3 linked regions of the Rattus norvegicus genome follow. The main gene of each other region encodes a partner of the protein of the gene in region 2 in a complex. Links are inferred from orthologs where the notes say so. Each region holds a gene or a part of one and is shown on either strand. Other genes may lie near its edges.

Evidence for each region.
Region 1: the proteins of Elmo1 (region 2) and Rhog are in contact, whole or in part, in a crystal structure (PDB 7Y4A), measured with the Homo sapiens proteins. The link is inferred for Rattus norvegicus from reciprocal best matches to the Homo sapiens genes ELMO1 and RHOG. Residues at the interface, in NP_001193409.1 of Homo sapiens: Lys9, Val10, Ala11, Glu13, Tyr18, Pro19, Leu21, Met22, Ala54, Asn71, Gly72, Ile74; in NP_001656.2 of Homo sapiens: Val36, Phe37, Asp38, Trp56, Tyr64, Arg66, Leu67, Leu70, Ser71, Pro73, Gln74.
Region 3: the proteins of Elmo1 (region 2) and Dock5 are in contact, whole or in part, in a cryo-EM structure (PDB 8JHK), measured with the Homo sapiens proteins. The link is inferred for Rattus norvegicus from reciprocal best matches to the Homo sapiens genes ELMO1 and DOCK5. Residues at the interface, in NP_001193409.1 of Homo sapiens: Ile7, Val8, Lys9, Ala11, Tyr18, Pro19, Leu21, Glu23, Glu36, Asp39, Gly40, Ser42, Asn71, Gly72, Gln392, Asp393, Leu400, Glu401, Lys468, Arg531, Glu535, Leu536, Lys539, Leu547, Gln550, Gln551, Asn554, Arg555, Asn582, Thr688; in NP_079216.4 of Homo sapiens: Met1, Ala2, Arg3, Trp4, Val14, Ala15, Ile16, Tyr17, Asn18, Ser22, Gln23, Gln30, Ile31, Gly32, Asp33, Thr34, Glu39, Tyr41, Gly43, Trp44, Arg46, Tyr48, Lys56, Ile58, Pro60, Glu61, Thr62, Tyr63, His65, Leu66.

What each region holds. Positions count from the first base shown.
Region 1 is NC_086019.1:166,039,318-166,043,064, forward strand, and holds the start of Rhog (rho-related GTP-binding protein RhoG), read right to left. Parts: upstream 2,885-3,747; 5' UTR 2,859-2,884; intron 2,818-2,858; exon of another isoform or gene 2,563-2,817; intron 531-2,562; exon of another isoform or gene 435-530; intron 1-434.
Region 2 is NC_086035.1:49,305,072-49,308,718, forward strand, and holds part of Elmo1 (engulfment and cell motility protein 1), read right to left. Parts: intron 3,550-3,647; coding exon 3,427-3,549; intron 1,288-3,426; coding exon 1,156-1,287; intron 1-1,155. UniProt on the Homo sapiens protein: Involved in cytoskeletal rearrangements required for phagocytosis of apoptotic cells and cell motility. Acts in association with DOCK1 and CRK. Was initially proposed to be required in complex with DOCK1 to activate Rac Rho small GTPases.
Region 3 is NC_086033.1:46,159,543-46,163,189, forward strand, and holds part of Dock5 (dedicator of cytokinesis protein 5), read right to left. Parts: intron 2,657-3,647; coding exon 2,488-2,656; intron 1,614-2,487; coding exon 1,475-1,613; intron 808-1,474; coding exon 707-807; intron 91-706; coding exon 1-90. UniProt on the Homo sapiens protein: Guanine nucleotide exchange factor (GEF) for Rho and Rac. GEF proteins activate small GTPases by exchanging bound GDP for free GTP. Along with DOCK1, mediates CRK/CRKL regulation of epithelial and endothelial cell spreading and migration on type IV collagen.

The sequences.
Region 1 (3,747 bases), on a different chromosome or scaffold from region 2:
GAGAAGCTCCTCCTTTGGTCTTTAGCTCCTAGGGACATGCCCTCCCCCCATGTGAGATGAGGACAAAAGAGGAAGCTGGACCCTGGACAGGAAAACCAGTCTGATCTGGGGAGGTGGCCCAGGCTTTGTCTTTGGTTTCCCTTCGAAGGTCCTCTCACAGACCCCTACAAACCTCACCTCTAATGGATCGACGCTACATGAAAGAAGAGGTTTTTCAGACTGTGCCCAGCACCCTTCTGTATTCTCTGTTCTCCAGCTACTATCACCCGTATCTTCACAGCTGCCCATATAACCACAGCCTTTTGTATCTTCTTGCTCATAGCCCCTCAATAGCTACTATCATCTGCCTTAACATCTTCCCTGAAGCGACTCTCCATAGCCCAGACTGCTAAGCAGGACGAGCAGCATCGTCACCCTACCACTTCTCATATTACCTTAACCATCCACAGCGTTTTCCTACTTAGATTCCTCCCATCCTGGTCACACTCTTCTTGCAATTAGCTCAAATTTCCAATGTGGCCAGATCTTGCCTAAGAGAAAAAAACCCTGTTACTGCCACCATTATCTCTGCTCTCGGAGCCTTGTGGGTTGCTTAGTTATACCAAATGCTAAACTCAGTACTGGTTTGTCAAGCTAAGAATCAGGGCTCCTGACGACTTTTATTGAGCTGTGATGCCAAGAAAATGTGCCGTATGCACATCCTTTCCCGAGCTGGGATTTAATACAGATCCCTTGGATTTCCTCCGTGGGGCCAAACCTCTGTACCTCCCAGAAATGAGAGTAGGAAAGACAGGTGGAGAAGGGCAGGCCCAGAGGAAGGAACAATTGATGGGAGAGGGACAACTGTGAGGTGGTAAGAGGATAGGAAAGGGAAGGAGCCTAGCTCTTAAATTTAGCTGTGCTCGACGATCCCCCAAATGTGACATTTGCTCTCCTCCACTTCTCTTTATTCTCATGGAGAGAAGAAGAGCAGTGGAGGCAGAGACAAACAAAATCTGAGCATGTAATCCAAAGGCTGAGGAGGGGCTCCAGAATGGAGACAAGCACTTACAGGGCCAGGACAGACTACGTTAGACTTTGGAGAAACCCCTCAGAGAGCGGGAATAGAGACCTTGGTAAGAAGAGAACATCACGGATGCTTAAAGACAGGAGGGTCAGTACAACTCCCAGTGAAGGCATTGACACACACCAGAAAATGTAGATACCCAATGTCTGCAGTCCCCACCGAGCAGCAGGGAGGAAGGACAAACACCCTTGCCTCGAAGCCCTTTCCTGATCAAAATTTTAAAAAAACAGTAGAGACTTAAGTTAGACTTGCTGCAGCTTTCCCTCCAGAATCTTGCCTTTGCCCCCTTCCTTTTCCTAGCAGACCAAATGGCCCAACACACTCTCCCCACTCCTTAGAATCAGTAAGTGCTAGGAGACTGGGAAGAATCAGGGTAGTTTGATTTCCCATGGACTTTCTAACTAGTCTTATTCTTGTGTCACTCAACTCTGGCTGCTACAGACTGCTTCCCCTGCCTAACCACAGTGTCACCCACCGCAGGTTCCCTTCATTCTGCCGGCTTCTGCTCTGGGACTTCTCAAGGCTGAGGGCAGATAGTTATTTTGTCTCTAAGAGATAAAGATGTTGACACACCAGAACTTGCATGTTCACGCGCGTGTGCACATGTTTCCAGCCCTTTAATCATCTCCATCCTTGGAAGGCTGCAGCCAGCATCTCCACTAAGCTAAAGAGGCTCGAAAAAGGCTCCTAAAGTCAGCAAGTCTAAAGCAGTTTCTGACACCAAAGTTAGAGTACAGACCAAGGAAAGGAGAAAGACTGAGGGCGGCAGGGAAGACAGAAACAAAATGGGGAGAGATGTGTGTGGCAGTCAGAGGATGGGAAGAGATGGAATGGGGAGAGAGCAGAGAACTGAGCAGAAAACAACAGGGCAGAGTAAATGTATCAGGGCCTGCATACATCAATGTGGCTGGGGGAAAAGAAACTGAAGGAGAATGTGGTAGACACGAAGGAGAGTGGAGGAAGACAGTATGTGGAATTCAGGTGAGGGAGACGTCTTAAGAGCTCTCAATCATTCCCCTAAGTCAGAACTCCAGCTGCTTCTCAAAGTCCCGTAAGTTGTCAGCGACTATCGGTATGGAGGCCCTTTCCTTCCTAGGTTTATCCGGAAAAAAAAAAAAAAAAAGCAAGGCCAGATTGAGTCAGATAGACACAACAGACGTGTTCACTAAATACCTGTTGTTGCATGGGATAGGAATAAAGAGGTTGGCTCAGAAAAAAACTGAGAGAGGGAATGGGGATTCCCCCACCTCATCCTCAGCAGCAACAGTGTAGCTATGGACTGGCTCCGACCTTCCCGGGTGAGACCTTTCTCTGCAGTCTCAGACTTCAGAGGCCCCAGACACCGCCCCCCAACCCCCACACCCCAGTCTCACAAATGTCACAACTGCAGAGCAGAGAGCGCGCCTTCTGCAGCCCAGAGGCCCTTTCCTTTCACACACTACTGAACAACCCCCCACAACTTCGGAGGGCACCCCACCGCAGAGTCCCAGCCTCACCAGCTCAGCGCTTTCCCACTTCCGAGCCTCTCACGGTTCGGATCTCAGGGGTCCCTCGCAGACAGCAGAAGCCCGCGCTGTCCCTGGGATCCCACACTCAACCCAGCCACCAGCGATCGGCTCGCGGTGGCCGCTGTCCCCGCCCGGCCTGCCGCGCCCGCCCAACTTGCAGTGAACGAAAACCTCCCGCCCTCGTCCTCCCTCCTGCAAACTCCCCGGCTCGTGGGTACTCAGTCCCGACCGGCTGAACTCTTCTTCCCAGGACCCCTGCCCACCAGGCCCGACCCTGGCCTCACCTGGTGCCCTCCCCGCGGCGGGGGAGCTGGGGGCGGCGGCGGCGGCTCTGGGCTCAAGAAGGAAGTGAGAGCTGGAGGCCGGAGGAAGTGGGGGGGTGGGGGACGGGCCGGCGGGGCCGGGGCGGGGCGCGGGGGCGGGCCGGCCCGGGCGGGGCGGACCAGGAAGTCCGCGGCCTCCCCCACCCTCCACAGCCTGGGGTCTTCTGTAAGCTTTGCCCGCCGCACAGTCCTGCACCCCCTGCTTCCCGCCACTCTTCTCCCTGAGACCCCTTGAGTGTGGCCTCTCAAGGTCAGGTCTCCCCACTTTCACTTGGCATCCCACCCTAGCAGGGGCCCTAAGCTAGGCGCAGGGCATTTGTTCTCTTCCTAGTATCTCACTCCCCGCCCCGCAACCTCCGCGGGAAGGCTGAGAAATGCCTTCCGCTCTGCCCGGGAATCTAGAGGTAGCCATGGCTGGCTAGGGATTAGCCGGAATGGGTCAGGCTGGGGCAGTCCCCACCCCTGCCCTGAGCCTTGGGAGAGTGCCGGGTGTTGGTGATTCAGCAGTGGGAAGGTTCCAGACCCCTGGGGAGGGTGGGGAGATAGAGGTGGGGGCAGGGCAGCTGCCGTCAGCACCCCGGGAAAAGACATGATCAGCAGAGATGCAGGCGGAGCCGCGCGGGCCCCCAAAACAGGATGTCGTGTCGTGGTTCCGCACCTCGCGGCTCCGCGGGGCCCTGGGGAGGGGGCGGGGCGTGGGAAGACGTGGGGCTCTTCTTGTTCCCTGATCTTGCCTTGGCGCGCGGCTGCTTGGAGCGGTAGGACCGCACCCAGGCTTGAGGTCCGGCCTGGGCCCTGGAGACAAGCGAGTGGGCGGCCTCGTGGGCGCCCTCTGGTGCTTCCAACCCAG
Region 2 (3,647 bases):
TGGCCCACATGTCTCAGCCAGCAACACTGCAAAGGTGGGGAGGTGGCATGAAAGACACAAAGACACATGAAAGTCTCACCAGTCAACTCAATTCATCTACAGTGTCAAATGGACAGGCAAAACCAAAGATGTAACACAGAGAAATAAATAGTGCCCAAAAGTGTTCCTAAGAAAGTTGCAAGGATGAATGTGTTATTAATAAATATTCTACTCAGAAAGACATTAACACCATAAAATCAATAGTTTGAACTTTTTTAAATTAAAGAGACATTATTACAAAGTTGAAAAATGGTCACTTTGATGTACTCTAGATAAAAAGCTAATTACTAGATGCTTATAACAAAGCAATTTCGCACAATCAAAACCCTATCTGAGGGTTTGTTTTGTTTTATTTGGAGAAAAATGTATCTTAAATAAAAACTATTGCCTAGTATTTTCTAACCTTCAAGCCAGCATACTATTTGTATCATTTATGTTGGAGGCCAAAATGGAAACCTAATTTGACAACTGCGGAATTTCAAGTTAGCTAAAGGTCATTCTCAGAACAGTGATGCTATCCCTAAGCAGGCAACAACCACGACAGCTGGTTAGATTCAACACATGTTGCATTCTGATTTGTAAAGTGTGTGTGTGTGTGTGTGTGTGTGTGTGTGTGTGTGTGTGTGTGTGTAAGGAACAACCCATTAACATCTGAAGCAAGATAAGATGTTTTAAGAAACATAAACTATATATAATCTCATGATGACTCAACTCCAGACTTCCAGCTTTCTTTAAATATGGAATCAATGCATCTGCATAATCCAATCACTAGCCCAATAATAAGAAGCCTCCTAGAACTGTCATCTTTCATTCCACTCAGGAGAACCATGGAGGCTTTTGAAGGAGGCTCAGGAAGGCTCGATGTGTTCCAGCCTAACTGCTCTCCATGACACTTAATCAGAACTGGATAAACAAGCGAAGGATTAGTCACACTTGTGCAACGTATTCCACTGCACCGCAGCCAGAAGAGATTTCCATGTGATCCTATTTAAACCAGCTAAACATCTGGAAATGTGGAAACCATTCTGTAAAGCACAAGAGGACCACACGTTCGATACGACTGAGGTCAGATGGGGAGGGTGGGAGGGGAGAGCATCCTGGAGACAGAGTACTTACAATGAAGCCAAGTTTTTTATAATCCCGAGTGTACATGGACTTGCGTTTCTCCATGCTGCCGCTGCTATTATTCGGTTCTGACTCTGCATCAAAAGCAATCCTTCGAAGTTCAAATATGATGTCCCTTTGGGCCTAAAGGCGTTAGAGGGGTGAAGAAAAGAGGCAAAAAGTAAGAAAGTTGCTTTCACTGTGTGTGACAGAAGACTCCCCCCTGACCTGTTGCCCAGAGTCTAAACCAGTCACTGCATTCAGGCGAAGCAGAAGAGAGAAGACAAGACGCGTCCTCAGTGAGAACCCAGACTCCTCTCTGCTCAGGCTCAGCATTAATCTATCCCTCAGTCAAGCCATTTGGAGCAATGATAAATATTATCTAGGACGGTCCTACATAAAAGCCTCAAATACAACAGAAGGACTGATGTTGGCGAAGGCTAAACGTGAGAGTGTTTGAGTAATATTCTGTTTGAAACAAATTAAGAGATGTTCACATGGCTCTTGGGCAATATTTTAACTATGAGAGATCTCTCACTCGACCGAGGCCTGACTTCATGGAAACAAGAACAAGATAAAAATAAAAGAGAGGGCCCAAAGGCAGAAACAATGGCAAGTGTTTTTCCAAGGTTGAGTGTGGTGTTGGGATGTTGTTAGCCTTAGCCAGGAGCAAATTATCAACATATTACCATAGGGAAGAACTTTACAAATTTGCAAAGAGAGTGTGTCTCCTAGAAATGTCAGGGACGCTGCGCCTATGAAGTACCACCAACAGGACTGCTTAAAGAACACCGGAACAAGGATGACACCAATGGACATGCTAATGTGGAGAAGGAGAAAGGTAACTAAGGATGCTAACAGAAAGAGAGATCATCTTCCCCTGGTTATCTAAGACCAAATGTCCAGCCCAGAAATCACATATGAGTGATATTATATGGACTGAACGGGTTGTATTTATGTATTTAGAAGTTCACATACAGATACTTATATACATATGTAACAACATCTAAAGAAAAAGAGGCCATGAATTTAAAACCAAGGAAGGTCAGTATATAGGAAGGGTGGGAGAGATGAAAGGAGGAGGGTAATAATGTAATTAAATATGCTACAATCTAAAATACAAAAAAATATAATAAAAAATTAAATAGGCCGAGTAGAACAGGTGAGATAGAAAAAGCCACAAATACATTTTTTACTCATCGAGGCCTCCTAGAAGAGCCAAATTAATAAAAACAAGAAGCAGAGGGGTAACTTATAAAGAGCCAGAAGGATGGGAGGAACGGGAAGGAGAGCAAATATGGTTTCAACGGGCACAGAAATTCAGTTTGGCAACACACAAAGAGGCATGGAGATAAATGCAGGGAAGTTATAACAATGTGAATGCAGTTAGTGATTAAAATGATTAATTATGCTATGTGCTTGTTTTTTCAATAAACAAGAGGAAGCATTTACAAATAAAGAGTGTTGCTCCATGTTAAGAGTACCGATCTCCCTCACTCCAAGTAGAAAGATAACTCGTCTTATCTCCCTCAGATTACCATGTTTGGCTGCCAGAAAAAAAGCATGGGGCACAATCATTGGCCTATCCAAGCACCTCGTCAGTCTCAAGCCATGAATGAAGGGCTGCAGCAGCCACACGTCCCACATGTGCAGCTCAGCATCTGCAGTAGATCAGGCCCTCATGTGCCAATAATGACTGTTTTCCTTTCCACAGCTGCACCACTGTTTGAGTTGAAAATGAGTACAGTGGGGGCAGGGTTCCCAGCTGCTTCCTCTCACTCTACCCTCACGCAGGGAAGCTCCCCCAAAGCCTTCTGGATGGAAACAGAATGTTTTGTACACAGTGACGGAGGTAGCCGAGAGTTAGAAAACTTGTCAGCCAACAAAAACACCAGCCTAGAAGTGAGGGTGCACCAGGGACAGGGAAGAACCGCCTTTGGTCTTAGTAACTGGAGAATGGAAACCACTCCCACTTGTAGAATTGATGCCCTCAATGGGAACTTGACCCCACTTAATGTAGTATGGTCAAGTATGGCTTTGACCTCAAGCTCTTAACTGTAAAAAAAAAATATGCATGTGTATGGGACATATGGAATAGCCCATCTGTTTTATTCTCTGATGCTAGGGTCACCTAAATTCTAAAGCCATATACCCAAGTTCTGAGATGTTGATAAAACAATTATAAGATCATATAAGACTCCTGATTTGAGTGTCACTAAAAGGCAGACATTTGATGCACTGTCTTGCTGTTTCTCATTATATTTGTGTGGATCATTCACCTACCTGGTCCTGGGGGTCCATCTTGGTCATCATCCTATCTTCCAGAAGGTTAAAGGTCAGCACTTGGAGAACATATAACTGGTGTGCCATCTCGTTGTTGATGGCCCGCTGTGCTCGGATGACATGCTAGAGACATAGTTGACAAATTACTTTTTAAAAAATTATTAAAGGAAAGATTCGGATCACAAAGTTAACTCTTGTCATGCTTCTTAAGTTCTAACACG
Region 3 (3,647 bases), on a different chromosome or scaffold from region 2:
CTCAGAAGAGAGGATGCTTGATTTTCGAGCCTTTGGAGGGGGTGGAGGTGGGGCTTTGGCATCTCTCCGGACAGGCAGCGGGGGAGCAATCTGGGGAGAAGACACATGGAATTAGAAACAGTTCCTTCGTTATTTCTAAGTCACCCTCCGACTCCATGCATCTGGGTTACTGTCAAGTTTGATGTGCATTTATTTATACCATCTGTATGAGAGAAAAAGGGAACGGTACTCATTTGTCCTCTTCCCTTGAGCTTGATGAACGCACACACACACACACACACACACACACACACACACACACACACACACACACACTTACTCATGGCTGCATCACTAGTGTTTGGGTAGCTCGAATGTACTTAAGAAGCACTTAGTAAATATTTACTGAAAGGAGGAATGAAACCCATCTGAGTCTACTGCAGAGCAGCCGCCTGTCATTCAGAAGCCAGGCTTTGGTGTGAACTTATCTCACCACCAGCTGTGGGAAGCAGAGAGCGCGGCTTCTCTCGGTCACTTGACTATGTGAAGCAGGCCTCTGGCATGTTTCCCTTCCCATCTCCCGAGGCTTCAGGAGTGAACCAGGCACTGGATATATAATGCCATGTGTAGGGGAACCCCTTCCCACTTCACAGCGTGGACAATCCCGTGATGTCTTCCCAGGCGTTGTGCTTGGTGGCCACACTGCCAGCAACCTGCAGGTTCCTACCTCAGCCGAGTTCCTCTGACTGCTCTCGTATGGTTTGTTTTTGGGGGGAGGTGGAGGAGGGACAGAAGCCATCAGCCCATCCGTCTGCAAAGATGGGGAGCCTGGACATGATACAAAAGAGACGGAGTGAGGACTTACTCAGATCCCACATTGCTGTGGACATTTCCGAGGTTTCTATAGAAAGAATGGAGAAGATCTTGTACCCACATGGCCACAAGTGCTCTTTAATCCACCAGAAAGCCTCACATGGAATTCTGATGTGCACACTCCTATGCTTCCTCTTAAGTGGACGATGAGAATATTTTCTAACCTTAGGAACTCTCTGACGAACCCCAAGTATTTAGGAAATACACAGGAGCTGCAGGAACCTTCACTTGGCTGTACCTAACTCTTGATCATTGTCCCTATTTGGCACTGGCAGATGTGTGCTCCCTATGCCTCTGTGCCATGGGAACCCTTGAGTTTGTTCCAAGTGCTGCAGTTGGTTGGTCTCAGGTTGACAGAGGTTTATTAGGTGGGTCTGTTCATTGCCCTGAATGGGTCTAACTCTGCTCTTCGTGGTTGGAAAGGGTCAGCAGACCCTTAGGACTGCTACTGAATAAGTGTACCCCAAATTCCAGTCCTTTGATGATTCCAATGGCCACTGGACGGAATCACCTCTCAAACAGCTTCACACAACTTGTGACTGCTTTGATTAAGAAGTGCCTGGATTCATGGCCCTTCTCTATTCCCTAGCCGAACGAATCTAGGAGACATAGGAAAACTCACTTAGGGTTCTCATGGCTTTGGGAGTGAGTGGAGGTGGGCTCAAGACTGTAGACTGCAGAGGTGAGGGACTGTGGAATGGTGTCAGCCGGCTGTCCACCAACTGGAGACTCTTTGGCCTTTGTGTTTTTTTGCCTGGGCTCTGAAGATGAAGGGAGAAACCAAAAAAATTAAACATGGCGGACATGGCTGACCTTAGTAATACCTTAGATGCTAGGCAGAAACTAACAGAAAGGGTTAATTCCAATGGCCTCTTCTTTCTGTTCTCAAGTGTGTGTGGGTGCAGACACATGTGAGGGCCAGCTTCCCTGGGTTATCTGACTCTACTATATAGCTGAGCACACCGCTCAGTGTCTTTAGCCAGGCACTGAAATTGCACGCAAGCCGTGACATCCACCCACTCCTCACACTTGCTGTGGCAAGTGTTTACCTACTGACCCTCCCCACCCTCTCCAGTGGTCACTTTTAAGGTTACTGCATTGTTACATAGTAGGCGCTTGGCAGAGATACTTTCTGGGAATGACTCCAAAATACAGGTCAGTTCTGGCCTGGCCCCTCCTTGATTGTGACCACACACACTGAGCCAACTAAGTTGGAAACTACCTTGACTCTCAGCAAAAGCTAGGTCTTGCAAACACAAGAACTTGACTATGGAAGAGGAAAAAGTGTCTGTTTTAAAGTTCAAAAGTGAAATGAAAATGTTTGCACTGACTCATGGAACACAGTGGCAAGAGCCACAGTTTCAAGAGCAGCCCATGTGTTTCCGCTGTGGGGATGAGACCTTGTGCAGTGTTGACTTGGAGACTTGAGCCTCTCTGTGTATGCACTTCTTCCTACCATCTGTGCTTTGACACCAGCACAGGCTGCTGTGTCCTAAGACCAGCTGCGGCCAGGTTTTTATCTATAATTCACTGCTGTGCAGTGAAGGAACAGGTACCAGCGGTGTTTGCTTGCTCTGATCCCTCCCTCCTTCCCTCCCTCCTTCCCTCCCTCCCTCCCTCCCTCCCTCCCTCTACCATCATATCAGGTTCTGGAGCTTTCTCTGCAATGACTTGTGACTTGCTCAGACTCCAGTCTTTCCTCTTGAACTTGCTAATCCGGTTCTCACTGTCTTCTTTGGGTGGCAGATCTTCAACTCTGGCACCTGATGAAGCTCTTCGTTCAAACAGTGGTTCCAGGATGGAACTGTCAGCCGGGAAGGTCAAAAGTCACAAAACATTAATCCCAGTAAAAGACTTCATTCCAATGCACTAGCAAAGCCCTCAACTCCGTTTTTGCCTAGCTTCTCAGGTTCCCAGAGTCTGATGACCAAACAAACAAGTCAGGGTAAAAATACAGAAATGAGATTATCATATGAAAGGGAGAAAATATTAGTGAATGTTTACTGTACTGGTTGGTTTTGTGTGTCAACTTGACACAAGCTGGAGTTACCACAGAGAAAGGAGTCTCCCTTGAGGAAATGCCTCTATGAAACCCAGCTGTAAGGCATTTTCTCAATTAGTGATCAACGGTGAGAGGGCCCACTGTGGGTAGTGCCATCCCTGGGCTGGTGGTCTTGAGTTCTATAAGAAAGCAAGCTGAGCAAGGCAGGGGAAGCAAGCCAGTAAGTAACATCCCTCCATGGCCTCTGCATCAGCTCCTGCTTCCTGACCTGCCTGAATTCCTGTCCTGACTTCCTTTGGTGATGAACAGCAATGTGGAAGTGTAAGCTGAATAAACCCTTTCCTCCCCAACTTGCTTCTTGGTCATGATGTTTGTGCAGGAATAGAAACCCTGACTAAGACATTTACCCTCTCCCCTGTGTGTTATATATTTGTTCTCTTGTGGGTATGTGCACATGTGTACATGCCACATGCAAGCATCTGAAGGTCAGAGGTCAGCATTGAGTATCTTCCTCTATCACTTTCCACCTTACTTTTCAAGACAGAGATGCTCACAGATTGGCTGGATTGGCTGGTCAATGAGCTGTCAGAATCTGCCTATCACCATTCAACTCCAGCACTAGGGTTCTATATGTGTGCTGTCACACCTGGCTTTGATCTGGGTGCTATGGATTCTAACCCAGGTCTTCCAGCTTGTACAGTAGGTGCTTTACTGATGAAACCATCTCAGGTCCTATCAATATTTACTCTTTCCTGGGAAGAGAGAGGGACAGGACCCATAGAGTACGAGTGGC